5 linked regions of the Cricetulus griseus genome follow. The protein of the gene in region 3 interacts with the protein of the main gene of each other region in a pairwise test. Links are inferred from orthologs where the notes say so. Each region holds a gene or a part of one and is shown on either strand. Other genes may lie near its edges. The genes, in order: Sln, C-type lectin domain family 7 member A, Tmem79, Rnf8 and Tnmd.

Region 1 (4,532 bases), on a different chromosome or scaffold from region 3:
TGGCGGTACCCCAGAAGCCCATTCCTAATTATTTCCCTTCTGTTTCTGTCTCCAAGTGTGGAGCTTGTCTGTCCTTTGTTTTAAACTTTTGCCGCTGTGTCTGTGTCCCTAAGCAGCACCATTAAGCTCCCTGCTCTTGACTTTGTGTAAATGGAGTCACATTCTCTGCTACTCTTGTAAATCCTCCTTTCATCCCACTGTTATGCTGTGAGATCCATCCACCTTGCGATGGGTAGCTAGAGGATGTCATGCATTTTCTTTACTCCACAGCATTCTAAAGTATGTGAATAGCACAATTCACATCCATTCTATGTCAGGTAACCAGTTCTTTCTAGTTTGTAGCCCTGTGGGGCCATATTCAGTATTCCTAAGCTTTCTCTAACATGCTCCCCTCTTTCTGCTCTGCTCTTCTGAACACTCAGGGACATTCTGTTCTCCTGTTACTCATTTTCTTCTGCTTATTCTCTACTCCAGGGAACTGTGTGTAAAGATTTTCACTGGCAATTGACAATATACATCATGCTAAGGGCTGAAGGAGGGATAAGAATGAAAAGGGGAGGGGCTGGCAAGATGGTTCAACAGATAAAAGCACTTGCTGCCAAGGTTGATAACTTGAATTCAACCCCCAGGTACCCCAGGTGGGAAGAAAGAACCAACTCCCGAAAGTTGTTCTCTGACCTCCCCGGTATACTGTGACACACACGTGTCCTTGCTCCAAATACAAAGATTAAATAAATGTAATAAAAATTAAGAATCAAAAGGAAACGAAACATAAATCAATCATCATTTGCTACATTTTAAAATGAGTTTCTGTAATCTGTTCATTGGCATAATATAGTATGAACCTGTATATTATACTAATAATTACATAACAAAAGCTGGTTGTTCTTTTGGTATCTATGCAATTAATAATTTGGTACATTGATGATACAACAAACATAACAGTTATAGTTAATTCAGTCAGGCCAGAAGGTTGCTACAAAGATTTGGTCTCTTGAGATTTGATCTTTTGCAAACCAGTAAGTACCCTTTCCATTTAAAGTTTTTGCTCCCATGATAGAATTTTGAGCTGCAATATAATCTACTTAAATTATCTAAAATACAGGAGTTTTAAAATTTATTTTGATTGTATAAACCAAGCATCTGTTTCACTACTTCACCAAAATTAGTAATCTGATTGATAACATTGCCTATGATCTTGGAGTAGACTTTCCTGCACGTACAATCTGTATGCATGCTAAAGATACCATCTCTGCTGTCTGAAATGTTTACAATCTAGGCACATCCTGAGCTTGACTAAAAATAGCTGGCACAAGCTCTTGTTGAAACAGAAATGCTCATGAGGTTAACACTTGTTCTTTGGATTGAGTACCTGTTGTGCGAGGGACTTCTAGTTGACCTCTACAGGCTTTGTGCCAGAGTAGGCTTGTACAAAGCCATGCAGCTGTTGGAGCTACTTTATTCTTTCACCAGGGTTGGATGAAGACCTAGGGCAGTTTTAAATCTGAACGATGATGTTATATGTGATCCAAAGAAAGAGCAATACTAAACTATATTTTTCCCCTGTTTTGGTGTCCCTGCTTGCAGATACTCCAAACAGCAAAGTTAACACATGACATGAAGATGAAGAGAGAAAAATGCAATATTTTATTACTTACCTAAAACAATGCAATTAATACAGGATAAAAACATTGGTCTTAGGATGACAGCAGGAAGAGAAACTAGGCTATTTGTATGCATCCATGCTCTTCAGAGAAGCCCAGATAACTCTGTCTGTCTGTCTGTCTGTGTATGTTTGAGAAATTGATTCATATCATTTGAAGGTTGGCAAGTTCAAAATACTCAAGGTAAGTTGCCAGGCTGTAGCCTCAGAGAGGAGTGGAAACTTAACTTCAAATGAAATCTGAGGTCACATGTTGGGGACCAGGGTATCAGCAAGGCTGGTTCCTTCAAGGCTTTTCTCCTTGGACTGAGAATGGCCATCATTTCTGTTTCTGCAATGTCTTCCCTCTGTAATGGGTCTGTGTCCTAACCTCCTCTCCTTCAGACATCAGTCATACTGAATTAGTGCCCACTAGTAACTGATCTAGTTTGCTTCTCTTCCCGTGGTAAAACACTGACCAAAAACAACTTGAGGTGAAAGGGTTATTTGTAACTTACAGGTATAGTCCATCCTGGAGGAAAGCCACAGCAGTGTCTCAGGGCAGGAACTCGGAGGCAGCAAGTGGAGCAGAGACTGTGCTGGTTATTGACTTGCTTCCTCTGGCTTGCTCAATTACCTTTCAGTTTTACCTTATGTTTTCTTTTTAAAGATTTATTTTTATTGTTTAATATTTATTCTTATTATTTTAATTATATGCATTTGTTTGTGTGTGGGGGGGGTATGTGTACATAAATGTAGGTGCCCAAGGAGATCAGAGGCATCAGATCTCACCAGAGCTAGACTTCTAGGCAGTTGTGAGCCTCCTAAAATGGGAGGAATTATTCAGTTGAGGTCCTTTTCCCCAGCTGGTTCTAGGTTTATATCAAGTTGATGCTGAAGCTAACTATGACAGTGACCGCATATTAGCTTAATTACCTCTGGGAAGACCTCATCTCTAAACACAGTCACATTCTTAGGTCTTGGGGAATAGGATTTCAATGTGTAAGTTTGGGGGGAAGGGTTGGAGAAGTCAGCACAAATACTTCATTTTTCTCTGAAGGAAGACTGGACAGCTTCCGGGCACGCTCACTTATCTCCCATGTTGTCTTTCTTATTTTGTTAGGAAGCAAGGACAAGCCGGAGGTTCTTGGTGTGCTCTCAGAAGTCTGCCTGGAGTTCTCACTCAGAAGATGGAGCGGTCTACCCAGGAGCTATTTCTCAACTTCACAGTTGTCCTGATCACCGTTCTCCTTATGTGGCTTCTCGTGAGGTCCTACCAATACTGAGGGGCCATGCTGCACTTCTGGGAGTGACTGCTGTGTGCCCCGAGCTTCCACTGCTGTTACTGTCATGGGATGCTATTCTTGGTACCACACCATCTCTGACCCGCACTCACGATGCCTGACACTGTTGTGTGTTTTCTAAAGATGCTGTCCTTGTGGGCTGCCAAAAGCTTGTTAGCCAGTGAGCCTTAGGCTTGTTCCCTAGTAAATGCACGATTCAGGCCACCAGGTTAAAATTAAACTGTATTCCTGATGATGCAGAGCAACAACAATGTCTGGTCTGTGTCAACACACATCCCCCAACCCACCCTGTCTGCCACCGAACTAACTCAACCCTTCAGAAGAAATGTACACGGAAGTCTTTGCCAGTCCCTTGAGTTCTCATGTGAATAAAGTTAAGCCACTCATGAAAACGGCTTTTAGAATTTATTTTAGCTCCTGTGTGACCCTTGGCTGGGACTGAAGTGACAAATAGCACATTATTTCTAGCATTTGAGATTAGCCAGGATGCTCCAGCTGCCTAGGATCTGAAAGCAAGACAAGCCAGGGTGTCCCATTTCAAATGATTCCATTGCTTCTCAAACCTTTCCTCTGCTAATCCTACGGCCAGAGGGAGAATGACTACAGCCTGCTAGAGTCTTGGGTCAGAGCCTAGAGTGCCTGCTAAAAGCATAGAATTCCTCTTAAGTCTTGTGCTTTCCCCCATAGCTTTCACAAGAAATGGGCTCAGGAGGTGATTCACTCAGTAAAGCCCTTACTTTGTAAGTTCAAGGGCCTGAGTTTAGACTCTCAAGAGCCATGTGAAAGCCCAGGACAGTGGTGTGAGCTTGTAATTCCAGGTATGGGAAGATAGGAGGCAGAGACAGCTAAGACAGGTCCTGGAAACTTTCTGGCTGGCCAGACTAGCCTACTTGACCAAGTTTCACACCACGAGGGACCCTCTAAAAACAGATGGGGAGGCACCTGAGGTATGACACCTGAGGTTGTTCTCTAACCTTCCCATGCATGTGCACAGATGTTCATGCACACACCTGCATATATAAGTGTACCCCAACATGCACACAAGCATACAACCACATATGTAGAAAACACATGCAAACATGTGAACATGCATACATATATACAAATGCACTCATACACCAAAAATGAACAAGAAATATAATAAATTTTGCTATGCCTGTCTGCAAGTACATATTTAGAATAGTTAACCCCTGAGTGAAGCTAGAGCACAAATCATGCCCCTATGAGTAGCATGTTCCAATTTGGTTCTTGTCCTTATGCAAATAGAACCAGACTCGAGGACAATTTTAAGAAGGGGAAATGGAAAATACACATTTACATACATGTTCATAGGACAAACATAACATGTTGCTAATACATCCTATTTTAGACAGATGGACCACATCTGCTATTTGTGCAGGTTTGTCATAACGACAGGCAAGGGAGATGTTAAACCTCCTGTTGCATGATGCCCTCCACGAAGGTGCTCCTTGCTGAGACTCTATCTGATCTTTCATGGCAACACTCCCTACACAGCACTCTGCTTCTCATCCCTGTCTGCATTCAAAGAAAATCAATAAAGCAGGGAAGGTCTTTCAAGAAATTGA
Region 2 (6,434 bases), on a different chromosome or scaffold from region 3:
ACAGCTCTTCTCATGTATGATCCAATTAGGAGGGCAAGGCCCAGAATAAAGTCCTGGAAAGAAAAAATAATATCATGAAGTCCACTGTGTTCCAACTGATTCTTTTAGTGATTTTCATGAATACCTAATAATAAATTTCCATTAGTGTATATTTCATTAACACATATTTAATTTTTAACTCAAATTAGACAATTTTTACAGAACATATTAAAATCCATTTGTTCATTAAAAATTAAAATTAGGGGTTGTAGAGTTGGTTCTGTTTTTATGAATACTGGCAGCTCTTCCAGAGGACCTGAGTTTGATTCCTAGCACAACTTATACAACTCCAGTTCCAGGGGATCTGACACACTCTTCTGGCCTCTGAGGTTACCAGGCATTCAAGTGGTATACAGACAAACCTGAAAGCAAAACACTCATACACATATAAAATTGCAATTTAAAATCAGGTGAGTAATTACTGTATTTAAATAGACAACTAGGCTTCCATTACTTCAAATTTAATTACAGACTGGCTTTCTCTACTGCCCTCCCTAAAGCAAACACTCTCAAAATCAATTGCTACACACATTAACTCCAGTTCACTTGATTCATCTTATGGAAAGGCATAAATGTAACTATTTATATTTCCAAGACTCTTATGTTTCATTAGCTAAAAGCAGTGGGTAGGTTAAGTTCAGAGATGGAATAGTGAAGGGAAAATATTGTCAGTCAATTACAGTCCAATCAGAAACACAGAGTGTAGAAAAATTGTCACAAAATCAATTAAATGCTACGATTGAATGCGATTAACCAGAGTTTACAGTGGTGTCTGCATCAGGTTCATTTCTTCTGCATATTCTTGCTCATGTTTACTCTCTTGTCTGCAGGGTCAACTTCCCCACTTTTCCCCTGACATTCCTTTTCCCTTACATCTATCTTATTCTAACAATATCACTGTAAAAATATCAGTTCCCTACAGGAACTGAACACTGCCTCTTCTTTTGCTTACAATTATATCATATCCGGTAGGTCTCCACACACAGTCAGAGAAAAGCACAGTAACTGATGCTGTTGGCAAGAGCTGTAGACTTGTGATATCACTTTGTCATTTGTCTGACAGGATATGTTATGCTAAGGAAATACTGCTAGGCATGTTTGCCTAGAATACACTGTTATTAGACGTAAACATCTTCCCCACCCCATGCCTCAGCACCAGGAAATGGACCTCTGAAATCCAGGATCCCATGGCTCCTTTATAAGGTTCTGCCCTTGCCTGTAGTCTGGGATGCCTTGGAGGGAGCCACCTTCTCATCTAAAGATGATTTTGTGGGTTTGTGGTTCTCTTTATTTCTCGATGGGAAGTTTTCCTTTTCTTCTGGATTTCTCCCTGAATTGAATCTCCAAAATGCTTCATATTTCAGGAACAATAATAGTGACAGAAAAAAGAAAGTCATTCTTCTGTTTGAGAATTGAAATTCCAGCCCCCATATTTTATGAAAGCTAATAGGGAATATCTATGATTAATGGTAAATCAATGCTACGTTGCTGATGAAAAAGACAGAGTCTGATGGTTGATACATGGATGATTGATCAGATGTGTGGAAAGGAATAACTTTTGTGAAGAAGGAAGCAAGAAGAAAATGACACAGACTTAGCTGAAATCATAAAAATTTGAAATAATAATAATTCAAGGACAATAATATCCTTTCTGCTTTCTCCTATTATTTAAAAAGGGCAGCTCTTTGAGGATTGCCCAGCTTGTAATAAATGGAGTGTGTTTGTACACACATTAATAAGCATTTGACTAATTATGAGCAATGAAGACTCTTTGAAAAGATCATATAATTGTATTGACACAGGATTCATGAGATATAGAAACCTAAAGAGATCTATTCGTCAATCACAAAATATCTGCTTAGTATGTTTTAAGTGCCTCAGGCAATACTTGGAAGAGTCAAGATTTTTTCTTAGTAAAGATCATCTGTGAGATAATTTCCATGTGTCCAAAGGTTCATAAAATTACACACAACTCCTTTAATATAGCTATGCCCTAGGAAAGATAACAGCATATTTTGTTTCCTTCTCCAGCTCTGTAAGTTCCCCTCCACTAACTTACCTTACAAATTCCTCTTTTAAAAAAGTAAGATATTCATGTAGAATAGTAGAGCAATATAGCTAAGAATATATGTTTTATTAAGCAGATTGTCTACATTTCTACTCATGATCCCACCGCTAACTAATTTATAGCAATGGAATAGTCAATCTTCCAATCTCTCCATTCTCCTATAAGTGAAATGGAAATTAATATCATGAACTCAATGGGATTGATGCACAGATTAATTCTCTGTGACTGTCATTAATCTCCCTCATCCATACTCACCTAGGACTCCCAGGACTACAGCAACCACTAGTGCGACCAAACACAGGATTCCCAAGGCCACCGCAATGGGACGCCAAGGGAGAGATGAAGACCGGCTTCCTGAAAGCCAGAGAGATGAGAAAGAAAATAAGAAAAGTCTGTGGAAGCCTTTAGTTGCCCAGCATACTGAAGTGGGGACAGTTCTAAAGGGGTCATCAGCCACTAGAGTCAGTGTCCTGAGAGTCTAGTCTTGTAGTACGAGTCTCCATTGTCCCCAGCTTCAGCATGGCTCTTCTTCAATTGCTTCAGCTGTGTTATCACCCTTTCCCATCCTGCGTATTTTGTGCTATTTCCATTTTAAGATCTGTCTCCTGCTAATGGGACATTTTCTTCTAGCATATGCTTTCCATCACTGATATACCAACAACTAGTTTTTAAAAATTCAAATGAGTCTCTTCCCACAAAAGTATATCATATTTGGGACTTAAAACCCTGTGACTCCTGGCTATGCCTTGCCATCTGCATACCCCTCAATTGCAGGTTCACATGCTAGTCTATAGGTCTGGGTGTTATTCATTCCCTGAAATCCTACTTGTTCATAGGGTGAGCAGTTTTCTGTAGGAGAAACAGAACTAGTTATTAAGGGTAGGTTTCCTTTTTTATTTATTTGGTGCATCATTTGGACAAACTACTTTCTCCACCCCCTTCTTTTTATTTATTTATTTTTTAAGTTTCCATTTTTGATACTGGATCAGTAACACCGTAAAATACTGTTGTTGGAAGTAAGTGATCTAAAAATGCATAGAAACACCCTTTCCAGCAACTGGGAGCACTTTGTACTTTACACAGCACAAGCAAAAGCCTTGCCCCTTCCCTCACTCAGTTTTCTACCATCTTACAAGCTAATTGCACAAGGAAGGGGTTGTGTAAGTGGTTATAAGAAGAAAATAATTGCATAATGTGAATGCCAAAAAAGCAGAAGAAAGCAAATTGTAATGTCAGAACCCATGAGTCATCTTTTCCTTAATGATAGCGCTGAACTGATTTTGTATTAAGCTTACCACACCAACACCAGAAGCCCAAGTCACAGAGATGACCAATAGGAGATCCAGAAAGAGAGTAAAGCACCTACCCTGTGAGGAGAGAGATCCTTTAACATTCTGTATATCTTGCACTGTTTCCATTTTAAGAATCTCCTATGTCCTGCCAATTAGACATTTTATTCTAGCATATGTTTTCCATCCCTGGTATACCAGCAACAAGTTTTGAAAATTTCAAATTAGTCTCTTCCCACAAAAGTATATCAGATTTGGGATTTAAAACTCTGTGACTCCTGGCTACTCTTTGGGTTTCACCAAAGATGTATTCATTTTTATTTTCCATGGAATCCTCTACGATTTCATACCCTGTCCCTTTGGCACTATATATAGTAAGATTGTACAGGTTCATTTACACTATTTTGAGTTTCTTGGCCCCCTCACAAGCAGCAAGTAACTCATTAAAATTCCTTCATCTTCGCCTATCACTCATGTTACCAACCCCACTTCCCACTGATGAAGCATCTGTGACTCCAGAGTGGAGCAGTCCTGGTTATCGCCACAAATCAAAAACAATCTGTGGAAGTCATTGGGTAGTTTCCAAAAAGAGGTTTTGTGAACATCCAAGGAATCTGTGATGACTCTTCCAATATATATATCTATATACATGTATGTACATATACATATATATATTTCACTAGAAAGTCCTACAAATCAAGAGTCTGCCCAGGTCTCTACTATTGTTGATAAGGATGAAGGTTCTATAAGCAGAGAGAAAATGAAAATGAATACCTTTCTCTGACTCCACAGGTCTTTTTAGGATGCCTCGAGTCCTGAAGTCTAATTGAGTATACCCATCTTCATCCAGAGTCTCTTGATATTCCATTGTTTTGTAGGGCCTTGGGTAGGCAGAGCACTTGAATGTTCTTTCCAAGTAAGATAACTGTCGTTTTGAGGCTCTCTAAACAGAACCCTGAAACAGCTCTTTGCTGAGGTTTATGGAACTCAGTATAAGTAGTCTAGCCAGTGCCCAAAGCAGGAAATGAAAATCACGTTGGAGTAATTTCCCATTTTTTTTCCCTCTAGATCCTTTTTTTGAGGCTGTAAATTCTGAAGAAATCTGAAACGTCGTAGTGCATGGCTGTTGTTTGAAATCAATGCTACGACTTCAGTTACACTCTGAACCAAGTTGGCATGATTAATTGATGTGGGTTGGCATGATTAGTAGATGTGTCCTGTGTAAACAGTTAAGCAGTTTTGGTACCTTGAGCTCACCATTGGTCTGTTCGTATTCTGCTTGCATGCACACATCTGTGCATGTGTGCATTCTGTAAACACACATTAACTACTTCACAGCTGGAGGAACTGGATGCTTGCGGAAAGGTGATCCACAAAGAAACTCATTGCCTGATGGAGGAAACCACAGGCAAGTATCAAAAGCATATTATCCCAGCAACAGAAAGCAGGTGAATCTCGCTGAGGCTTATCATGAAGTAAAAATATATGGGAGCAAATATTTATTGGTAATTATGGTGCCTTAGTACAGCATAGCACATAGGCTTTTTCATTTAATCTCAGATCTCTAAGGGTTCTATAAGCGTGTTTTAGTTCTACAATTTTCAAACAAGGAGAAAAAGACATGGATACTCAGACAATAAGAACTTTAAAACCAGAACAAGAGATTGGAACAAAGTCTCCTCTGTCTTTTAGACATGGAATTGCTTTCTGCTGCACTGGCTTTGTTCTTGTGGGCTCTTAGAATGCAAATGATAGTTTAGGACAATCTAAGACAGAAACAGAAGGCTAAATGTCTGGAATTTTTTCTCTTTCTCTCTTTCAATTCACAGGTTAACACAAAGTGACCAAATTAGTACAAAATTGTTTGATTTCCATAATTTTATTACTGCTAGAGGTCAACAAGGAGGACATCAAAGTAATGAGGAGAGATTTAATTTAAGGATTACTATTGCAATGGAAAAGAAAGTCCAATAAGAGCTGAAGTCAGAGTCCACATAACAACAATTGGAAGGCTTTCTGAGGCTGGCGTGTGCTAATGTAAAGTTGTGGTGTGAAGCAATAGCCAAAGTGAGTCTTCATCAGGGCTTGTCCATTGGCACTCCTTAAACTAAGAAACTTCTCATCTTTTTGACATGAGGCAGTGGCACATGTACTTTCAACTTTCAGAGACAGTGAGGGAGAGCAAAGACGATGACTTTGAATGTTTGCCCTTGAGGAAACTGTTCAGGGCCTTGGCTTTATTACACGAAGGTCAGAGAAAAGATACTGTATTGCAAATTCCAAACATAACTGCTTTAAGAGTGGATTCACCTACTACCGACTGCCAAGTTGGGTTTTTGCTTTGTTTTATGCTTTGAGACTGGATCTCAGACACTCATCATTCTTGCAGATCACAAGACAACAAACTTAGCTCTGACTTAAGAAGCTAGTAGCACTACCAGCATCAAGCTTGCTTGTGTAGGTACCTCAAGCTACTGGATCCACCAGTCCTTAGTAAAAAAACCCTCAGTTACTTGGAAGTCACAGTAGGTCTGCCAGGTGTACAGGTGAAGGTAGGAGAAGTCATTATATGATCATAAGTTTGTACTTCTCCAGGTCTAACAAGGATGGAGATGATAGAGCAGTCAGTGGAGAGTCACTAAGTGAGAATCTGCTTCTTTCCTGGTCTGCCACAAAGTCTTACTGGCTGTTCATGGATAAGTCATATAAGGGTCCTGTCTATCTATTCTCAATATCCATTAGCCATTCAAGTCATAATGCGGTCTTTGTGAAGCAGTGTGATGAGATGTAGGACATTCTACCCCAAGATAAGACATGTTGACATCTGAGAAAAACAAAAAAAAAAAGCACAAAGAGGAAGATCACCCCTGACACAGGCCATGAGATCTTCATGTGAGAGAAAGGGAGGAGGAGATCCTCTGTCCTCTTTCACTGTCTAGATAAAGGGACATCCTTATTTATATGAAAACACAGAAAGGAGAATGTAAGGCAATAAACCCCGTCGTGTTCCCTTCCATCTTAAGCTCGGTGGATGTCGT
Region 3 (5,417 bases):
TCTTCTCTTTTATTTACTATTTAAAATTAAAGGGGGGGGGGGCTGTGAGAGATGGCTCAGTGGTTAAAAGCACTGACTGCTTTTCCAGAGGACCCAAGTTCAATTCCCAGCACCCACATGGCAGCTCACAACTGTCTGTAATTCCAGTTCCAGGTGGTGCGTCACACATAGTCAAAGCACCAATTCAAATAAAATAAAGATTTAAGCCGGGCGTTGGTGGCACATGCCTTTAATCCCAGCACTCAGGAGGCAGAGGCAGGCGGGTATCTGTGAGATGGAGACCAGCCTGGTAGTTCCAGGACAGCCTCCAAAGCCACAGAGAAACCCTGTCTCGAAAAACAAACAAACAAAAAAGTAGGCAAAACTAATTTCATTTTGTTGTTTTGTTTTCGAAATAGGGTTTCTCTGTGTATTAGTTCTGGCTGTCCTGGAACTCACTCTGTAGACCGACTGGCCTCAAACTCAGAAATCTGCCTGCCTTTCTTTCTTCTTCTTCCTCCTCCTCCTCCTTATCCTCTTCCTCTCTCTCTCTCTCTCTTTAATATTCATTTATTTATTGTGTATACAGTGCAGGCCAGAAGAGGGCACCGGATCCCATTACAGATGTTTGTGAGCCACCATGTGGTTGCTGGGAATTGAACTCAGGTCCTTTGAAGAGCAGCCGGTGCTCTTAACCTCTGAGCCATCTCTCCAGCTCCTGGCCAACTAATTTCTTTCTTAATTAAGTTACAATTAAATGTTCATTTATGTGATCCAGAATTAAATGACAATTCAACTTTAATGTTTTCTTCCCCTGTTGGGTGGTATTGCCACATATCTTTAATCCCAGAACTCAGGAGCAAAGGCAAGCAAATCTCTGGTTTTGAGGCCAGGCTGGTCTACAAAGCTGGTTCTAGGATGGCCAGGGCTACACAGAGAAACCCTATCACAAACAAACAAACAAACAACAAAAATTGTCTTCCCTGGCTGGGCGTTGGTGGCTCACACCTTTAATCCCAGCCCTCGGGAGGCAGAGGCAGGCAGATCTCTGTGAGTTCAAGGTCAGCCTGGTCTCCAGAGCGAGTGCCAGGATAGGCTCCAAAGCTACACAGAGAAGCCCTGTCTCGGGGGAAAAAAAAAAAAAAAATGTCTTCCCCTTTTCTGATTCCCATCCTAATCTCCCCAACTCCCACCCTAGGTATCCAGTTCTACAGTTTCTTGATTCATTTCTGTTTTGTAGATACTAACAAAATCTTGTTTGTGGTCCAGGGCCTCACAAAGCTAGGCAAGTGATCTGCCACTGAACTATATCCCCAGCCCCCAGTCCTTCCTTCACCCTCGCAAATGAAGGGACTACAGGCACACTCCACCAGAGCCTTCTGCATGCTAGGCACATAGTCTACAACCGAGCTAACTCCCAGTCCAGTGTCTCCCCTCACTGTCAACTGTTTTGTCTGCTCACTGTTGCTTTGTTGTTGAGTTAAAGCCTCACTATGCAGCCCTGTATGGCCTCAAACATGTCCTGATTCTCTGGCCTCTGCTTCCTGAGTGGAGGCTGGGACCACATGCGGCCCATACTGCTGTGCAACACTGCATTCCCTGAAAGCGCCAGTGTGGTAGTGCAGACTTTTAATCCCAGCACTCAAGAGCCAAAGACAGGTGAATCCTGGTCTACACAGCAAGTTCCAAGACATCTTGAGCTTCTCTCAAACAAAACAAAACAAAGGCTCACTTTCAATAATGGTAGGTTTGAGACCAGCCTGAATTACATATTTTCAGCCAGTGTGGGCTACATTTTCAGATTCTGTCAATAAAATAATATCCCCTGATGACTCCAAATTGAATGAAAAAAAAGTAATGAGAGTGAACTAGCCTCTGGGTAAAGAGTCAGTGCCCTTAACCGAGGTTCTGCTCACCGATGAGCAGATTTCCTGCCAGAGACAAAGGGATCAGAGCCATTTAAACCACTAAAGAGGAGGCTGTTTAAGTGCAGGAATTGATCTGTGTTGTCCAGAGTCTAAATCCAGAAGGTCCATGTCAAGACAGTTCATTTCCTTTCTTTTTGGGGGGCTCCTGGGGGTTGAGACAGGATTTCTCTGTGTGGCCCTGGCTGTCCTGGAACTCATTCTCTAGAGCAGGCTGGCTTGAACTCTTGGCAGTTCTCTTGTCTTAGCCTCCCAAGAACTTTGACTGCAGCAGGCCTGAGAGAGCACTACATCAGCTTTAGGGCAGTTTTTAGCACTGTATAAGGAAGGACTTTCTAGCAATTAGAACTATCAAACCTGGAAAGGGGTGTGGTGGTGATCCCAGCACCTGAGAGGCTGAGACAGGAGGATTGCCAAGAGTTTGTGTCCAGGCTGCATGGTGAGATGTGACTGTCTCAAGCAAAATAAAACCGGAAATGTCCAACATAGCCAATTTTTAAAGCTATTTGTATGGAGTGTCACAGACTTGAGGAGTACCTTCAGTGGGCATACCAAATGACACCTGAGGTTAGGGTGGTCAATCCTGTGCTTAGATGTATGGGGCCATGGATTCCATTCTCGGTACCAAAAAAATTAACATTCAAAAGCTCCCCATCGGCAAGCATCTGAGATCAACTTCTGAAAGGAAGATGGGAGCTGACCACCTGCTTCTCAGCAAATCACAAGAGATATAGGATAGACTAACCACTGCATGGTGCCCCAGCAGCAATCCCCTGACCTCAGATCTCCAGACCTTAGCTCCCTGGAGTCTCTAATACCTTCGCTTCCCTCATGCCTACCCTAGCCATGGCCACCATAGCCCCTACTCACCGAGATATTGCAAACAGACCAGTGAGCAGGGGGAGCAGCTTGAGGTTGTCCTGGGGCAGATAGGTGGAAAGGACGGCCAGATTAAAGAAGTAGAGGATGAAGAGCTGCACGGACTGGGCCACGTACTGACGGTGGATCTCTACTTCCCGCCTTGGCTCTTCAAAGGGCCGGAGGGCAGAAAAGCACAACAGACTCAGGCCGTATACAAGGAGCCCTGGCAGGGGAGGAAGCACACACACGGATGGGGTCAGAAAAGGCAGGAGGGCTGGGGATGGCTTTCTCAGAGGATGGTTCTTGGGTCAGGACTGCCCCAAGCGGTCTCTGGAGGACACAAGCGCTCTCTGGAAGAGGGGGGGCGAAGAGTGGCACAGGTCTGGGATGTCCTGAATGGTTCCAGCAGAATGAAGAGAGACCACCCCAACCAGGCCTCTCTAGTCCACTTCCCAAGTAGCCCTTCTCCACGGCCCGGACTCACCTAGCACGATGGGGAAGGTGGCAAAGACCCCACAGCGTAGGGTGTAGATCAAGCGGGAGCTCATGGTGGGCAGCCTGGGAGCATCGAAGGGCAGGAAGGCGTATGCTCCATACAGCAGGCAGGGGAAGAAAATGAGGGCAGCCACCAACGAGGCTACAGCCCTCAGCGCCTCGCGGCCTCCACAGCTCCCACAGCCCCCACAGGACCGGCCAGGGGGTCTCACAACTGCCTCAGCCCACTTGCACTCCGGAGGCTCGGGGTGGCTGAGTCGGGCTGGCAGGAAATTCCTGCGCTCTGTGCGCTCCTGTGGCCTCCGCTCAATGCACTGGAGGTCAATGGGCACGAAAGCCCTAACTGACTTCTCAAGGAGCAAGTTGGCATCATCTTTGAGTGGTTCCTCAGACTTAGTAGTGAGTGGTTCCTCCAACTTGGTGAGTGGCTCCAACTCTAGGGGCTCTGGTTCAATATCTCGCCAGCCTGGGGGATCTGGAAGTGGGGCGCTGGGGTGAGGGTCAGTTCCCCAGGGCAAAGTCGCGGCCTCACTTATAGTGCTCTCTGGACCCTCCTCAGGCCTCTCTCTGACTATGGGAGACCCAGTTGAAGACCCTACTCTGAGAGACTCAGCTCCAGGGGACTCGGTCCCATCTTCTTCCTCTGGCTGCCGACCAGTGGGGACTAGCACCTGCGGTGGGCTCTTCTCTGGAGCCTCGGGTTCCTTCATTTCCAGCAGAGCCAGTGTCTCCGGTTCCGGTTCTGTCATCGTGAGGCTTCAGTTCTAAGGTCTGGTCCAAGGTGATATCATCCTACTGGAAGTGGGGTAGGTTCTGTGAAAATACCCTGTCTTCTGGCCCCAGAACAGTTAGTTCCTCAAACTGGAACTCACTCATGCAGCCTCATGGACTCTAGGGAGAACACAGCGTGGATGGGGGAAGGCATTGAGACAGAGGGCAGCAGGGGAGGACTGCAATGGAGGAACGATTTCAAAAGAAATGTCACCCAGCAGGACAGGGGTGAGTCAGGGGACACGAGCCCGGGCAGCCTGGCAGCCGTGGGCTCAGTCTACACCCACACCTGCCTTCCATTCTCTGCACCCAAACCCCTGGATTCATGGCCACCCTCTCTTGGGAATGGGAGGAACTTGGCTGAGAGCTTCTCTACAACTGAAAATCACCCTACAGAGAAACTGCCCTTTCACCCTTCCATTTGCCCTTTGCCCTCCAGAACCCTGCCCAGAACTCTCTTGGCAACCGAAACCAGTTGCCAGATTCTTAGTCCCCAATTCCAGGAACCAGTCACTTTCCAAACTCCCCTCTCAAGAGTCTCACCCTTCAACCAGGCTGGGCTCCACTCAGACTTTCAGCTCCAGTGTGGCTGCTCCCATGCCCTCCTCTTGTCTTTCTTAACCCCTGCCACCCACCGGCCCACTGCTTCTGGTTAGGGCTGTTTCTCTTCATTCACCTCTAGGGCCCCTCCTACCCCCCTGCCCTTTGGACCCATGATACCCTCTTACTTTACACCTGTGGAGAGGCGGAGGATCCCCGGAAAGGAACTGCCTAGCTCCTGGCTGGCTCTGCAAGTATTTCCCAGTCTCCCTCCCCTTGCCTGTGACTCCAAACCTGTCTGACCAGAGCAGGTGGGGCCCAGATTAAAGGCACAGGCCCTGCCCTACAGAATCTGCCGACAGGAAGAGCTCTAGAGGAGGACGTCATCCTTTTTGAAAGTGAGGGTGCAGCTGGACATAGAGGTGTGGTCTTTAGGTGTTCTGGGATGTGTAAGAGCTTCCAGGTCAGGAAGCATCAGGGGAAAAGTGGGTTTGTACGCCAAAGGGCACTTACAGTAAGTTGGGGAAAAGATGCCTTGTAAGTTTGTTCATTCTGTAAATGTTTATTGAGTATCTGTCGGTTTTGGAGACTGTCCTGGAACTCTCTTTGAAGACCAGAGGCTGGCCTCGAACTCAGAGATCCGCCTGCCTCTGCCTCCCGAGTACTGGGATTAAAGGCGTGCACCACCAACGCACAGCTTCCTTCTTGCTCGTTTTCTTCTCTCTCTTTCCCGATGTTCCCCTGTGGACAGACAGGACTTTTTCTGTCTCCTTCTTCTCTTCTGTCCTCTCTCTGTCTCTGTGTCTCTTTACCTCCCCCCCCCCACACACACACTTTCCCTTTCTA
Region 4 (6,253 bases), about 190 Mb from region 3:
GAGGACTGGAGACAGAGCTCAGTGGCTGAGAGCACGGCTGTTCTTCCAGGTTTGTCTTCCCAACAGACACATGGTGGCTCATAACCCATCCACAATTCCCAGCTGCAGGGGACCCGATGCCCTCTTCTGCTATAGTGTTACCTCTTGCCCCCACCCCCAGGCACCAGGCATACACATAAAATAATCACTTAAAATAAGGAAGAGTTGATATGAATTCTCAGGCTACCACAGCCCTGAACGGTCGGTCAGTCATCCACTTCTACCATCCCATTCCCATCGGTTTGTCTTCAACACTGGCATCCATCCATCACACAAGTAAGACAGGTCTCGGCTTTTTAAATGCCCAGCTTAGCATCCCTTTCTCTGGAAATTCTTCTAGCTGGCCCTGGTTCTGCCCCGAGTCCATCAGGAAATCTCCAATCTCCTTCTACACACAGCTGTGAAGTAGCCTCCAAGTCACTATTCCTGGCCCTCTGTTCCCAGCCATTTTACCTGAGTCCCCAGGGCCTGTGTTTATTGTGATAGCTGTTATTTAAGAAAATCAATTTAAATTGGTCTACAAAGTCAAGTCATGGACCACTTTCCCAGTTCTAGGCATGGCTACCGACTGATGTGTGGGTCTGACTTTCATGGCGCTCCAGTACACTGCCACAGTGTCCTCGGCCTGAGAAATAACTCTTGTTTCTCCATCCTTCCTTCCCCCAAATTACTATGACGAGTTGGTAAATGTGAATTCATATGGAGGACCTGACACTGGTTTCTGTTCATTTTCATCTTGCTTGTTCAGACTAGCACACTGCCTCATTGAGACTTTAACTCTTTAAATCTGTCATCAGACAGACAGACATAATGTTCCTTTAGCATTAGTCTCCAGGAAACTGACACGACAGTTGATGTTGAACTTCCAGTCAAGACATAAGGAAATAAAATAAAATGGGGATTAGAGAGAGCTCTTAACTCCAAATCCGGATTCAGTGCCCTCTTGTGGCCCCTGCAGGCACCCATACGCACATGGATGCCCACTTTGCAAAGTCTACCAACCAAATTCCTTGACCCTAGGTCCCCACTTACCCACAGCAACGGCTTGAGGGTCTGTAGAAGACAGAAACAAAGCTCTGGTTCCCACTCGTCACACTTCCTGGCAGACCTATCTAATCATAAACTTGTAGGGAAAGAAGTGACCGTCTTCTGAGATTCGGGTCTGTTTCCCGATTCATTTCTGTGTGTGATCATCTCTTACCGGGGCCCACAGTGGAGCAGAGAACTCCTGAAGTTGTCCTGACCTCTACATATCCACCACAGCACGCAAACTCTTCAATGGAGAATGTGCAGGTCTAAGGACTAGTGTGGTGGGGGGGATCTTCAGGGATACCATCCTCATTCACTGACCATTCCCAGATTCAGTAGCTGTTTTAGAGGAAGCATTCCATATTCCACTTGAGGGGAAACAGCCTGGCTGCCACTGGGGAACACAGTACAGAAGACTGGGAGAGCACCTTGTTCTGAAACTGTCCCTGACTTAGCATCCAGAGGAGAAATGTCCAGTCCTAGAATACAATGGTTCTATTTCAGCCCCCTAAGAACTCCCTCGGCACTGCTCCATTAACAACCATGAAGCACCCTGATGTTAACGCAGACCATCCCCTTGTTCCTGCCCGTCTTCCCTAGCCCCCTCCTCTGCAGGGCTCTGTCTCTGGAATAACCAGGAAGTCCGCTAACCATTCCTTCCCCCTTTCACCCACTCGGACAGATAGTTTACTAAAGGGTTCCCTTCGATACCAGATGAGGGTCCATCCGTGCGTATCACCAGGCAGGCTTCTCTTATACACAGGCCAAGGAGGGTCAATCCTCACCCTGACCGGCATTCTCTTGGTTTGTGCGGGTCTCTCTCTCCATAGGTGTGATCCCGTAAGAACTATGGCACCATGTAGAACCTGTAGTCCTCTTGCCCTTGCTACCCCGGGACTGCCAATCTATTCAGAAGTAATAGATTAGTTCACTGAACTGAGCCTCAATGAGTAAGTCAACACTTGATTAAGTTTCCCTACAGGGTTGAGACAGACTAGTGAATGTTCAGGGATCAGATTAGGTAAAGCAGGTGAAAAAACAACACACATGTAAAAATAAGCAGCTCTCTAACGCCTGCCAATTTAAAACCGGACCTGCTCTAGAATATCACTAAATAAGCCACACCTTAGCCAACCTATAAAGGTCACAGACTCCTTCATTGTAGAAATAATCTTTCCTGGGCCGGGTGTTGGTGGCGCACGCGTTTAATCCCAGCACTTGGGAGGCAGAGGCAGGCTGATCTCTGTGAGTTCGAGGCCAGCCTGGTCTACAGAGCAAGTGCCAGGAAAGGCTCCAAAGCTACACAGAGAAACCCTGTCTCGAAAAACCAAAAGAAAAAGAAACTCCATAAACTCCAAGAGCAGAAACTATGTTTGCCCCTCAATTGCAAATATATAGCTTATCAAAAAAATAACCTAACCTTACCAATTCAATATATTTAATTTACACGACGTCTTAGGATGACTATTGTGATGAAATACCACGACCAAAAAGCAAAAAAGGGGTTTATTCAGCTTATACTTCCATATCGTTGTTCATCATCAAAGGAAGTCAGAACAGGAATCAGGGCAGGAAGCTGGAGGCAGGAGCTGGTGGGAGAAGCCATGGATGGGTGCTGCTTGCTGACCTGCTTGCTCAGCCTGTTTTCTTATGGAACCCAGGGCCACCAGCCCAGTGATGGCCCCACCCACAATGGGCTGGGCCCCTCCCACATCAATCACTACTACAATGTCTTACAGCTGGATCTAATGGAGGCATTTTCTCAATTAAGATTCCCTCCCTTCTCTGGCAGTGGTGGTGCACGCCGCCTCTAATCCCAACACCCGGGAGGCAGAATTCTGCACGAGGATCTCCATGAGTTTGAGGCCAGCCTGGTCTATAGAGTGAGTTCCGGGGGCTATACAGAGAAACCCAAAAGGATTCCCTCCAAATATTGCACAGTTTCCAAAGCCCAAAGGGTTCTGAACAGCAAGCTCGTACCTGACCCAGGTCCCCTTCCAGAGCAGACTGCAAGGATGGGCTCACCCTTAGCTTTCCTGGAGCTTTTCCTAGCACCTCCCTCCCGCTCCTAACTGTGCCTCCCCCTTTTTTGCGTTTTAGTTTTGCATTAACGGAGCCTTCCGAGGGCCTGGGTTCGATCCCCAGCACCAGCCCTTTAAGCCTGCATTGTCAGACAATGAAAGCAGTTTCTGGGGAGGTCTGCTGACTGTCCCTGCCCCACTCCGGGGGTGCAACCGTGGCCCACCCCAACCCGTCAGTTCTCCTCGGAGGTGGAATGGGAGACTTTATTTTTCTAAAGTTGGGAGGGTTTGTAGGCGAGGCACCATTCAACTCGCCATCACACTCAAAATCAACTGCAGACGCCCTCCGCTGCCGTCCCGGCGGGGTCAGTGGGGACGCCTCTGCCTCAGTTTCCCCGTCTGAACCGGGTCGTCATCGCAAGGCTCCGAGAGGCACTGTCGGGGACCGTGCTGCTCTCGGCTCCGTGCTGCTCGTCCCCGGAGGTCCCCGCGTCCGTTACGGCGGCTCCGGCACGGGCCTCGCTCCCGCGCAGCCACCCACCAACCCGGGCCTCTCAAGCCACGGCCTCGCCTGGCCTCGCGGCCCGATCCCGCCAGCCCCTGAGGCGGCCCGATCTGGCTGCCGCCCTGGTGCCTCCCGCCAGCCGGATCGGCGCGGATCGGCTCCGCAGCCTCCACGCTCCCGCAGCCCCCGCCCCCGGCCGCCCGCCCGTCCTCACCTCACTCGCAGCCTCCAGCTGCAACCACTCCCGGTCCATCCCCAGCCGCCGCAAGCACCAGCTCCGGCCGCCCGCGAGCTGCCCCGAGCCCAGGGGGTCCGGCTCGCCCATAGCCCGCTCGGCACTGGGGCAGCCAGCGCTCAGCAACGAGCCCAACTCCAGCCCCGGCTCCAGCCTCCTTCCCGGGTCCCGTCCAGCACCATAACTAAAGCCCAGGCAGAAGCAATCGCGCGGGAGCCGCCGAGCCGACGCGAACGCGGACCCGCCCCTGGGCTGGGAAGGCGGGCAGCACGCGTGCGCAGCGGGAAGACCGGGGGCGGGAGAGCCGCCGAGAGGGCGGGCGAGCGGGCGGGAAGGGCGGGAAGGGCGGAGCATGGCCAGGGCAGGAGGGCGGGCTCAATGCCGGAGCCCAGGGAGGTCCGTGATGCAAGTTCCGGGCCAGCCAGGGCTCGGGGGAAGGGACGGCTCCGCGAGTGAAGTCGCCCGCTGCCGAGTTCGGTCCTCAGGCTTCACCTCCGTGGCGGATGCAGAAATCTGAGCCTTCAGATCGGCCTCCGACCTCCGCTGGCGCACCGTGGCGGGTTTGTGTGTGCACACCAGTCAACACGTAGAAACTATAATGGATAATGAAAGTGATGAACACCACCGCTCTGCTTGGGCGCAGGAGCATAACGTGACTGTCCCACGGTCCAACGCCTTCCCCTCCCCTCCGTGCTCTCCCAAGCCACCGCCCCAGGTCTAGCGGCTACGAACTGGAACCTCTTATTTCCACCCCACCCCTTCTTTTCTTTGGCAGGGTGCGGAGGAGACCGAAACAGAAAGACGAAGGGTTCAAGGGCATCCTCGGCTACACGGTGAGTTCAAGTCAAGCCCGGGATAGGAGACCTGTCTACAAAACAAACAAAAAATGCTTTATAACGACATTCTAATGATGCCTGTAGCCATGTTATGTAAAACCATAGCCTACTTTGTGTTTGAAGTGGGAGATGCTGAAGACTGAACCCAGAGACAAGAGGATGGCAGGGGTGTAAAGTACTCTGTAGATAAATTATACCCTCACTCCATTACAGCCCACCTTTGAGTAACTTTTAAAACTCGGTTCATTTTAAAGCTGGTTTGGTCTATTCCTGTTTAGCATCTAGTTTTTGCATGACCTCCTTTCGTTACTGAATTTCTAAAAATTATAGCAGGCAAATCTATAGAGACAGCACACGGTTACCTGGGGGGCTATCTGTGTGAGAATACAGACCGAATGCAAATGGGCGTGAAGGACCTGGGGAGGGGGTGGTATTAAAGTGTTGTAAAAGCAGATTAAAGTCAGATTGAGAGCTGCACAAGTGTACAAATTTACTAAAGTGTTGTGGAATAATCTTTTTGTGCACTGTGAAGATGTGTCGCTCCGATTGGTTTAAATAAAAAGCTAAACAGCCAACAGCTAGGCAGGATTTCCAGGCACAGAGGATGCTGGGAAGAAGGACAGAGACACCGGGAGCCGCAGAGCAAGCAGGATGGGCAGTACAGAGATTAGATAATAAAGCAGGATGCAGAAAGTTAATTAATAGAAACAGGTTAGTTAAAGCTATAAGAGCTAGTTAGAAACAAGCCTAAGCTACCGTCCAAGCTTTTATAATTAATGTCAACGTGTCATTTATTGAGGAGTCTATGGCCCCCATGAAAAAGACCAGCCAAAGGCCATTGACATGCACACTTCCACCCTATGACTTCAGCAGTATGGAAATTATCCTCAAAGTGATGAACACTTAAGAGTGCTTGCTGCTCTCCCAGAGGACCACAGTTACATTCCCAGCATCCACTCTGGTACTCCAGCTCCAGAGAATCCGACTGTTAGTATTCAAGCATCTGAACTGGCCTGCCCTTGGGGGTCCTGATAAAAAATGTCCTCAGCTGCAGCCACTAAGAGCACCACCTGTGCACATTCGCTAGGCTCTCCTATAAAAGGTGGGCAAGTCCACCTCCTGTCTTTCCCTCTCCCAATCTCCCTCCCTCCCCCTCCCCTCTCTCTCCCCTCTCCCACTGCCACCTCTCTCCCATTCTCTTCCCTCAATAAAAAAACTCTCCACCTTAGCTCTGTTCTGTCTACCCCACCCCACCCTCCGCTGGACACCCTTTTCAGGCCATTGGGGGCACCTGCATTCATATGTACAAAGACACACAGACACTCAGTGATGGTATCACACAAACCTTTTGATCCCAACACTGGGAAGGCAGAGGCAAGGAGATCTCTGTGAGTTCCAGGCCAGCCTGGTCTATAAAATGAATTCCAGGACAGGCTCCAAAGCCACACCACAGAGAAACCCTGTCTCAAAAAACAATAAATAAATAAATATACAATCTTTAAAATCTCATTGATTTTTTAAAGCAATTTTTTTCTCCTTTCTTCCTTCCTTTCTTTCTTTCTTTCTTTCTTTCTTTCTCTCTCTCTTT
Region 5 (6,259 bases), on a different chromosome or scaffold from region 3:
AATGTGGAACACAGGGAACTTTAAGTAAGACTATTTTCCCCCCAAAAGTATGCTTCATGGATTGTAAGGAAGTTACTGCTTAGAAGTGGACTCTCAATATGGTGACCTCTCGAAATCTCTGGAACTGAATACGTTTTTTTTTTTCTGCTCAGTTAGGAAAGCTGAACACAGAGCCTTATAGACTTGGCTTTTCTCAAGCCTCTTCAAGACTTTTTCAAGTCTCCTAGGTACGGCTGTGGCTCAGGAAACCTAGGGCTTGGAAAGAAGTACAGAAGTTCGCTCAGAGTTGAACCTCCTTTATTTTTCTCCTGGATAAGTGTGTGTGTGTGTGTGTGTGTGTGTGTGTGTGTGTGTGTGTGTGTGTGTGTGTTCACATGCATGTTTGAGGAACACTTGGAGTCAAATATTGCTTACTCCAGTTTTGAAATCCATCATCTGCATCTTTTGTGCATACGAAGGTGGGAGGGAAAGGAAAGACTTAGTAGCCTGGAAATGTCAACACCAGATGTAGGATGTTAAATAAACACTGTTTATTATAAACAGATGTTGAAAAAGAAAACAAGAAGGAGTATTGTGGGGGCTGGAAAAGCAAACACTGAGAGCTCAGAGACAGCCCAGAGACAACAAAGGTATCACTACAAAAGTACAAATGTATCAGTCATTCTCTCTACCAAAGGCCCCACAGGCCTCACGAATCCCAAAGGCAACCAAAGCAAAGTCCAGAAGACCATGGGTTTTACTTTGTCAATCAGCATTTCATTCCAGCCCATACTATTAAAGAGAGAGTCTTAAATTTATACAAGATGCTTGGATCATTTTCCTCTGGAAATATTCTTCCCAGACTAATAGACTACTTTTATTTTCCCTGGATTCTTAACTGCTCAGATGCAGGCCTAGTCAGGGTCTTGGTCACTAGGAACATGGATAGCATCCCAAGCTCTTTGTCTGGGACATAGAATGTAGTAGTTGATTGAATAAAGAATCTGTACTACTACCTGGTCTCCTGATTTTCAGTGACCTCAACATGACTTTGTGGTGAAGGCCAGGACATATATATGAAAGACAGTATATTGTAATTCCCCATGGAATAGCAAGTAAATAGTATTTGTTCACAATAGAAAAACTTACCATAGGAGGTACATAGTGTCTTTTATCTGTATATCTTCATAATGACTTCGGCCCCTCCTTTACATTCCTTTTCGTGAAATTTATATCCTAAGATGAATTACTTCATTTTGCTTTGATATCTTTTCTTTTTAAGTACACTTTAATCAGTAGCATACTCGTACCCTTTCCATGTATGCACTGGCTGCGTTTCTTGTTTGGTTTCAGGAATTACAGAGTTGCTCTTTGGTAATCATATTTATAAGAACTGGAATGGGAAATGACGATAGTATAATTGGAAGGTAGGGGAGATCATGAACTCAGCTAGGTAGTGTGGATTCTTACAAGATAAAGGCAAGATCTCCCCAAGTCACCCCCATGGTCATTTATTACTGCACTGAAGCAAATACCACTGTAAGATTAGAAAAACACATAAATGTGGTTAGAATGACATTTATTGTGCCGGTGGATATAAGGAAACAAGAAAGTCTATCTTGTGTTTGTTCAGATACATATCTATGAATGGTTGAAACATAGAGTGAAGGTATTATATTCACAACAACTAAAATGATTTATGGCCCTATATTCATATAATTTCCAAGAGAATTAGTGATTCAACTTTTGGGGCAGCATATTACTTTAGAAATTAGCTAAGTGATGCCATAAGTAAGTAAGTAATTGTACTGGAATGAGTGCTGGCTCTCAATTCAACTTCTGTTTCTTTTCTGATGTTGGTTGCTTTGCACACCTTGCTAGCCTTAGCATAGTTGGCTTCTCTAGAAAGTCATCTGAATAGTAAGTAGTTCAAAAGCAGTAGGGCAGTGGGTGGGCTAATAGGAGTGGGTGATGCCTGAAAACCTTTCTGGAACATGATGTAAATAAAAAGGCAAACAGATAAGTAGGCTTGTTTGCTCTCCATCCTACTTAAACTTTACAAGGTATCCCTTGAGACTAAATGTAAGCAGGTATTGCAGCAGAGGTGGAGAATCCCATGTAGTTATGCTTTACTTTTCTGTTTTTATTTGGACAGTTAGCCAGTTTATTTTCTTTTTCTCCTCCTTTGTCTCCCTTTCCCCATGAACTCTTTGCTCCTATTGCTCCTTTGGCTCCTAATGGTCCATGCCAACCCATTTTCTTCTTGTCTCATTTTCCTTCCTGGATCTGTGCCTTTTCTTCCCTACATCAGCTACCAAGTAGAAATGAGCATCTCATGACAAAAACAACAGCAGCAGTAGCAGCAGCAACAAGAAAGGCTCAGAAATAAAGAATATGGCAAAGCCAAAAGCCCATCTTAATGGGTTTTAGCTCATCTAATTCTCATCCAAGTGGAAACTGTTAGCAAGAAAAGACTACGATTTTATTTGGGTCACATCTAAACTTGTCTATTGCACGTGAGCCTAGGAATAACAGTAACATGGAAGCATGGGAATACAAACCACAATGGCAACCACGCCTCGTCAAATGTCCTCAATATTAGAAGCTTTCTGACATATCTGTGATTAATGACTTACTGCTGCTTGTATCTACCCGTGGCATAACTATCTCACTGGGACAATGGCTGTGACTGCGGAGGAGCTGAAAGGCTCTAGCTCTGGTTAAGTTACAAATAATTATGAACTCAGATATGAGAATTGCTCCTTTGAAAAAGGAGTGTTCCTTGCTGCCTGTCCTCATAGCAGATGCATTAAATCAGAACATGAACCCTGAAAACAATTTGCTGCCATTTCGGGTGCCTTCTCCTTATGTGACTGTCTGGTTACTCTGCCATCAGTTTCTTCCCAGATAATGGAAAGAAAGATGGAAAGTAATTTTTCTTTTGTACATTAAAAAAGCTTTCAGATTTAACTCCTTAAAGTCAACCATAAAAGTAAATTTACTTCCTGTCACTACTAACCAAACAAAATGCAGAAGATAATTTCCCCACACCTACATAAGTAAACGAAAGAAAAACCTTGATTTCATTTTCTGTGCCCCAACTGAATACAAAAAGGATGAAAGTTTTCATTTTCATATTAATTCACATGTTAATCACTAGTTAAATTCAACCAAACTCAGGAAAAAAAAAACACTGGGTAAGTGTTACTTACTTTCTTGGATACCTCCGGCCAGAAGTGTTTGCTCCCCCAAAACAGGACAATTAGAGTTAAGGCCAGAACACCAAACACCAGTCCACAAATCTTCAGTGATTTACATATCTTCTTGGATTTCAAAGCTTCTGCCTAAGCAAAGAACAGAAAGAATGAAACAATACACAATAACCCTCAAAATAGCAAGCCATAATTCAAAGTCTCCGTCGATTTCACTTTCTAATGTTCACACTGCAATACGATAAATCTGTGAAAGCATGCTTCTGCTCAAAAGGGAAAATATATGAATCAACTTACATTTAGAATGTGACAGTCCTCACAGTTCTCTGGAGGATTCTTTGCCATAGTCTCCCAGCACACAGTGCTCTTTGCCTGCTTTGAGAAGACTGAGAGACCACTGCCGAGGTGGAGTTGCAAGTGAGTCGGCGACCAGATGCCAGAGGAGAAGCTGAATTTATATGGCTCAAATATGTCATACCAGAGCCGGAGGGAGCCCAGGGGGCTCCTGTGCTGCGATTTGTTACATAGATATACCCATATATGTATATAACTTCTGTGCACAGAATTCCATCCAGAATGGCAAAGACAGGTTATAATGAAAACTATTGTCCTGGGGGTTGGGTTGGAAGGGGATCAAGCCTAGGACACGTTGAAATGATTTTTCACTATGAACTTAAAATACCAGTGGCAATACATGCTGCATACTCCAGAAATAAGCAAACAGAGCAAAAAAGGGAATGAAGTTCTAATTTTAATTCCATTCAATTAAGCAAATATTTATTGCAGGGATATTAAGTATCAGGTACTTTCTTGGGTGCTGGAGAGTCAGAAGTAAATAAGATAGTGTGCCTCACTAGGTAAAAGCACTCTTTTTGCCAAGATCAACATGTATTTAACTAATTATAATTAAAACCAGGATATGATGAGGAGCAATTGTGAGCTTTCTCTCTTCATCCCATCTCTATGATTTTGTTTGTCTTCTTTAGGCGGTCCCTCAATGCTGGTGTTCATTATATTGCTTCATGATTTTTTTCTCACTTTACATAAACTGCTTAAATGACCTCATCAAGTCCTGGGGCTGATAGATTTCTTATATAGCAATGCCATCCAAATTTGTACCTGTAACACAGTTCTGTTTTTTAATTTCAAAGCCATTTGAACATCGCAAGTGTCTGTATCTGGATGTAAGTCAGTATGCTACCTATCAAACTATTTAAATACTCCTTCCACCAACCTACTTTCTTTCCCATAATCCTAACCATGAATGGCCACTACAGTTAGTTTCCTGGGCCCACAATAATAAAGTACTGCCAAATTACTGACTTGCCTGTAAAAAATATATTCCTTAGAAGACAACACAAAACACATTCTTGCAGTTCTGGAAGCTACAATCCAAGATCAAGATGTTTGTTTACTTCCTTCCTTCCTTTCTTTCTTCTTTCCTTCTTTCCTAATATATATCTCATTTAATTAATTTTTATTATTTTTATTTTTAATCTTTATTTTTTTTTTTTTGTTTTTTGAGACAGGGTTTCTCTGCGGCTTTGGAGGCTGTCCTGGAACTAGCTCTTGTAGACCAGGCTGGTCTCAAACTCACAGATATCTGCCTGCCTCTGCCTCCAGAGTGCTGGGATTAAAGGTGTGCACCACCACTGCCCAGCTTATTATTTTTATTATTATTGAAAATGAAGTTATTTTATTTAGATCTTAGTGTCCCCTCCCTCATTTCCCAGGTCCTGGCCACTTCCTCACCCTTCCCTCTCTTAAGATAACAGGGAGGCAAATACAAAAGACAAACAAGGGTAAAACACAATGAACAAATCAACAAAAAAAGAAAGAGCATGAGAAACTCATACACATGTAAAGACATACCAGCCCCCCAAAACCCATAAAAACACAGAATTGGAAAACACAATATACAAGCAAAGTAAGGTTAAAAAATGTCTGAACAAAGCAATATGAGACAAAAACCCCTCCCAAATTACCATTGAATTCATTTTGTGTTGGCCATTTACAGCTGGGCATGATGACTGCTCTTAAGTGTGGTTTGTATATATATTTAGACTCCTTTGAAGAAACCTATTTTTCCTTTGGGACTGGTTGCTAATTGGAGATAGCTTCTTGCTTGGGGATAGGAGTTCCTATCTACTTCTCCATCTCAGTGATGAGAACCAATCTGGTTTGGACTGGTGAATACTGTTGCAATCTCTGAGCTCATATGTGTATTAGTTCTGTTGTGTCTGGAAGACACTGTTTCCTTGGTGTCCTCTATCTTCTCTAGCACAATCTTTCCAATTGCTCCATTTTTGAGCTGTCTTTATTATGCTTCTAGATAGCTATCTTATTGGTCACATGGTGCTTGCATTTCTTTGTGTTGGTATTCTAGTCTCCCATCCTTCCTCCCTCCCTTTGTTCTTTCCCCCTCCCCCAACTCCAGGGTCTCACTATGTAGCCCTGGCTGGCCTGGAATTCACAGAACTCTCCTTGTCTCTGCCTCCCAATTGCTTAGATTAAAGGTGTGCACTATCGCACAGGTTCCTGATCTCTTTTTATAAGGGTAGTAGTCACCTTGAATAAAGGGTCATCTGCACAACATTATTTTACTTTACTGACCTTTTTGAGGAGCATATTTCCAAATTCTAAGTCATACATACAGTCAAATTGTAAGACATCGGAAATTAGGGCTTCTCTATATGAGGACTGAAGTGATCCAGTTTGAGCCATGTGGAGCAATAACTCAGTCTTCAAACCAGAAACCACAGGTTTGTCTTACAATCACCTCACCATTTCATGTCTATTTTATTCTCCTCATCACCACGTGTTATGTACTCTAAATTCTTACATGTTTCAAAGATGTTCTTCCCTCACTGGATAGCATTTTTATAGTTACTGTTATAACTTTAGTGGTTCTTAGCCTGTGGGTCGAGACCCCTTTGGGGATCGCATATCAGATATCCTGCATATTAGATATTTATATCATGATTCATAACAGCAGCAAAATTACAGTTATGAAGTAGCAATGAATATATTTCTATGCATAGGGGTTCAGCAAAACATGACGCAAATAC

The links.
Region 1: the proteins of Tmem79 (region 3) and Sln interact in binary tests that used the Homo sapiens proteins (3 or more experiments, as listed by UniProt). The two-hybrid records come from large-scale screens. The link is inferred for Cricetulus griseus from reciprocal best matches to the Homo sapiens genes TMEM79 and SLN.
Region 2: the proteins of Tmem79 (region 3) and C-type lectin domain family 7 member A interact in binary tests that used the Homo sapiens proteins (3 or more experiments, as listed by UniProt). The two-hybrid records come from large-scale screens. The link is inferred for Cricetulus griseus from reciprocal best matches to the Homo sapiens genes TMEM79 and CLEC7A.
Region 4: the proteins of Tmem79 (region 3) and Rnf8 interact in binary tests that used the Homo sapiens proteins (3 or more experiments, as listed by UniProt). The two-hybrid records come from large-scale screens. The link is inferred for Cricetulus griseus from reciprocal best matches to the Homo sapiens genes TMEM79 and RNF8.
Region 5: the proteins of Tmem79 (region 3) and Tnmd interact in binary tests that used the Homo sapiens proteins (3 or more experiments, as listed by UniProt). The two-hybrid records come from large-scale screens. The link is inferred for Cricetulus griseus from reciprocal best matches to the Homo sapiens genes TMEM79 and TNMD.

The regions. Positions count from the first base shown.
Region 1 is NC_048597.1:165,581,093-165,585,624, forward strand, and holds Sln (sarcolipin), read left to right. Parts: upstream 1-2,769; 5' UTR 2,770-2,832; coding exon 2,833-2,928; 3' UTR 2,929-3,286; downstream 3,287-4,532. UniProt on the Homo sapiens protein: Reversibly inhibits the activity of ATP2A1/SERCA1 and ATP2A2/SERCA2 in sarcoplasmic reticulum by decreasing the apparent affinity of the ATPase for Ca(2+). Also inhibits the activity of ATP2A3/SERCA3.
Region 2 is NC_048601.1:16,595,434-16,601,867, reverse strand, and holds the start of C-type lectin domain family 7 member A, read right to left. Parts: upstream 4,265-6,434; coding exon 4,171-4,264; intron 2,462-4,170; coding exon 2,363-2,461; intron 1,391-2,362; coding exon 1,256-1,390; intron 54-1,255; coding exon 1-53.
Region 3 is NW_023276806.1:66,160,118-66,165,534, reverse strand, and holds part of Tmem79 (transmembrane protein 79), read right to left. Parts: intron 5,313-5,417; 5' UTR 4,010-5,312; coding exon 3,250-4,009; intron 2,989-3,249; coding exon 2,775-2,988; intron 1-2,774.
Region 4 is NW_023276806.1:258,073,140-258,079,392, reverse strand, and holds the start of Rnf8 (E3 ubiquitin-protein ligase RNF8), read right to left. Parts: upstream 4,094-6,253; 5' UTR 3,920-4,093; coding exon 3,809-3,919; intron 1-3,808. UniProt on the Homo sapiens protein: E3 ubiquitin-protein ligase that plays a key role in DNA damage signaling via 2 distinct roles: by mediating the 'Lys-63'-linked ubiquitination of histones H2A and H2AX and promoting the recruitment of DNA repair proteins at double-strand breaks (DSBs) sites, and by catalyzing 'Lys-48'-linked ubiquitination to remove target proteins from DNA damage sites.
Region 5 is NC_048604.1:46,267,804-46,274,062, forward strand, and holds the start of Tnmd (tenomodulin), read right to left. Parts: upstream 3,537-6,259; coding exon 3,489-3,536; intron 3,324-3,488; coding exon 3,192-3,323; intron 1-3,191. UniProt on the Homo sapiens protein: May be an angiogenesis inhibitor.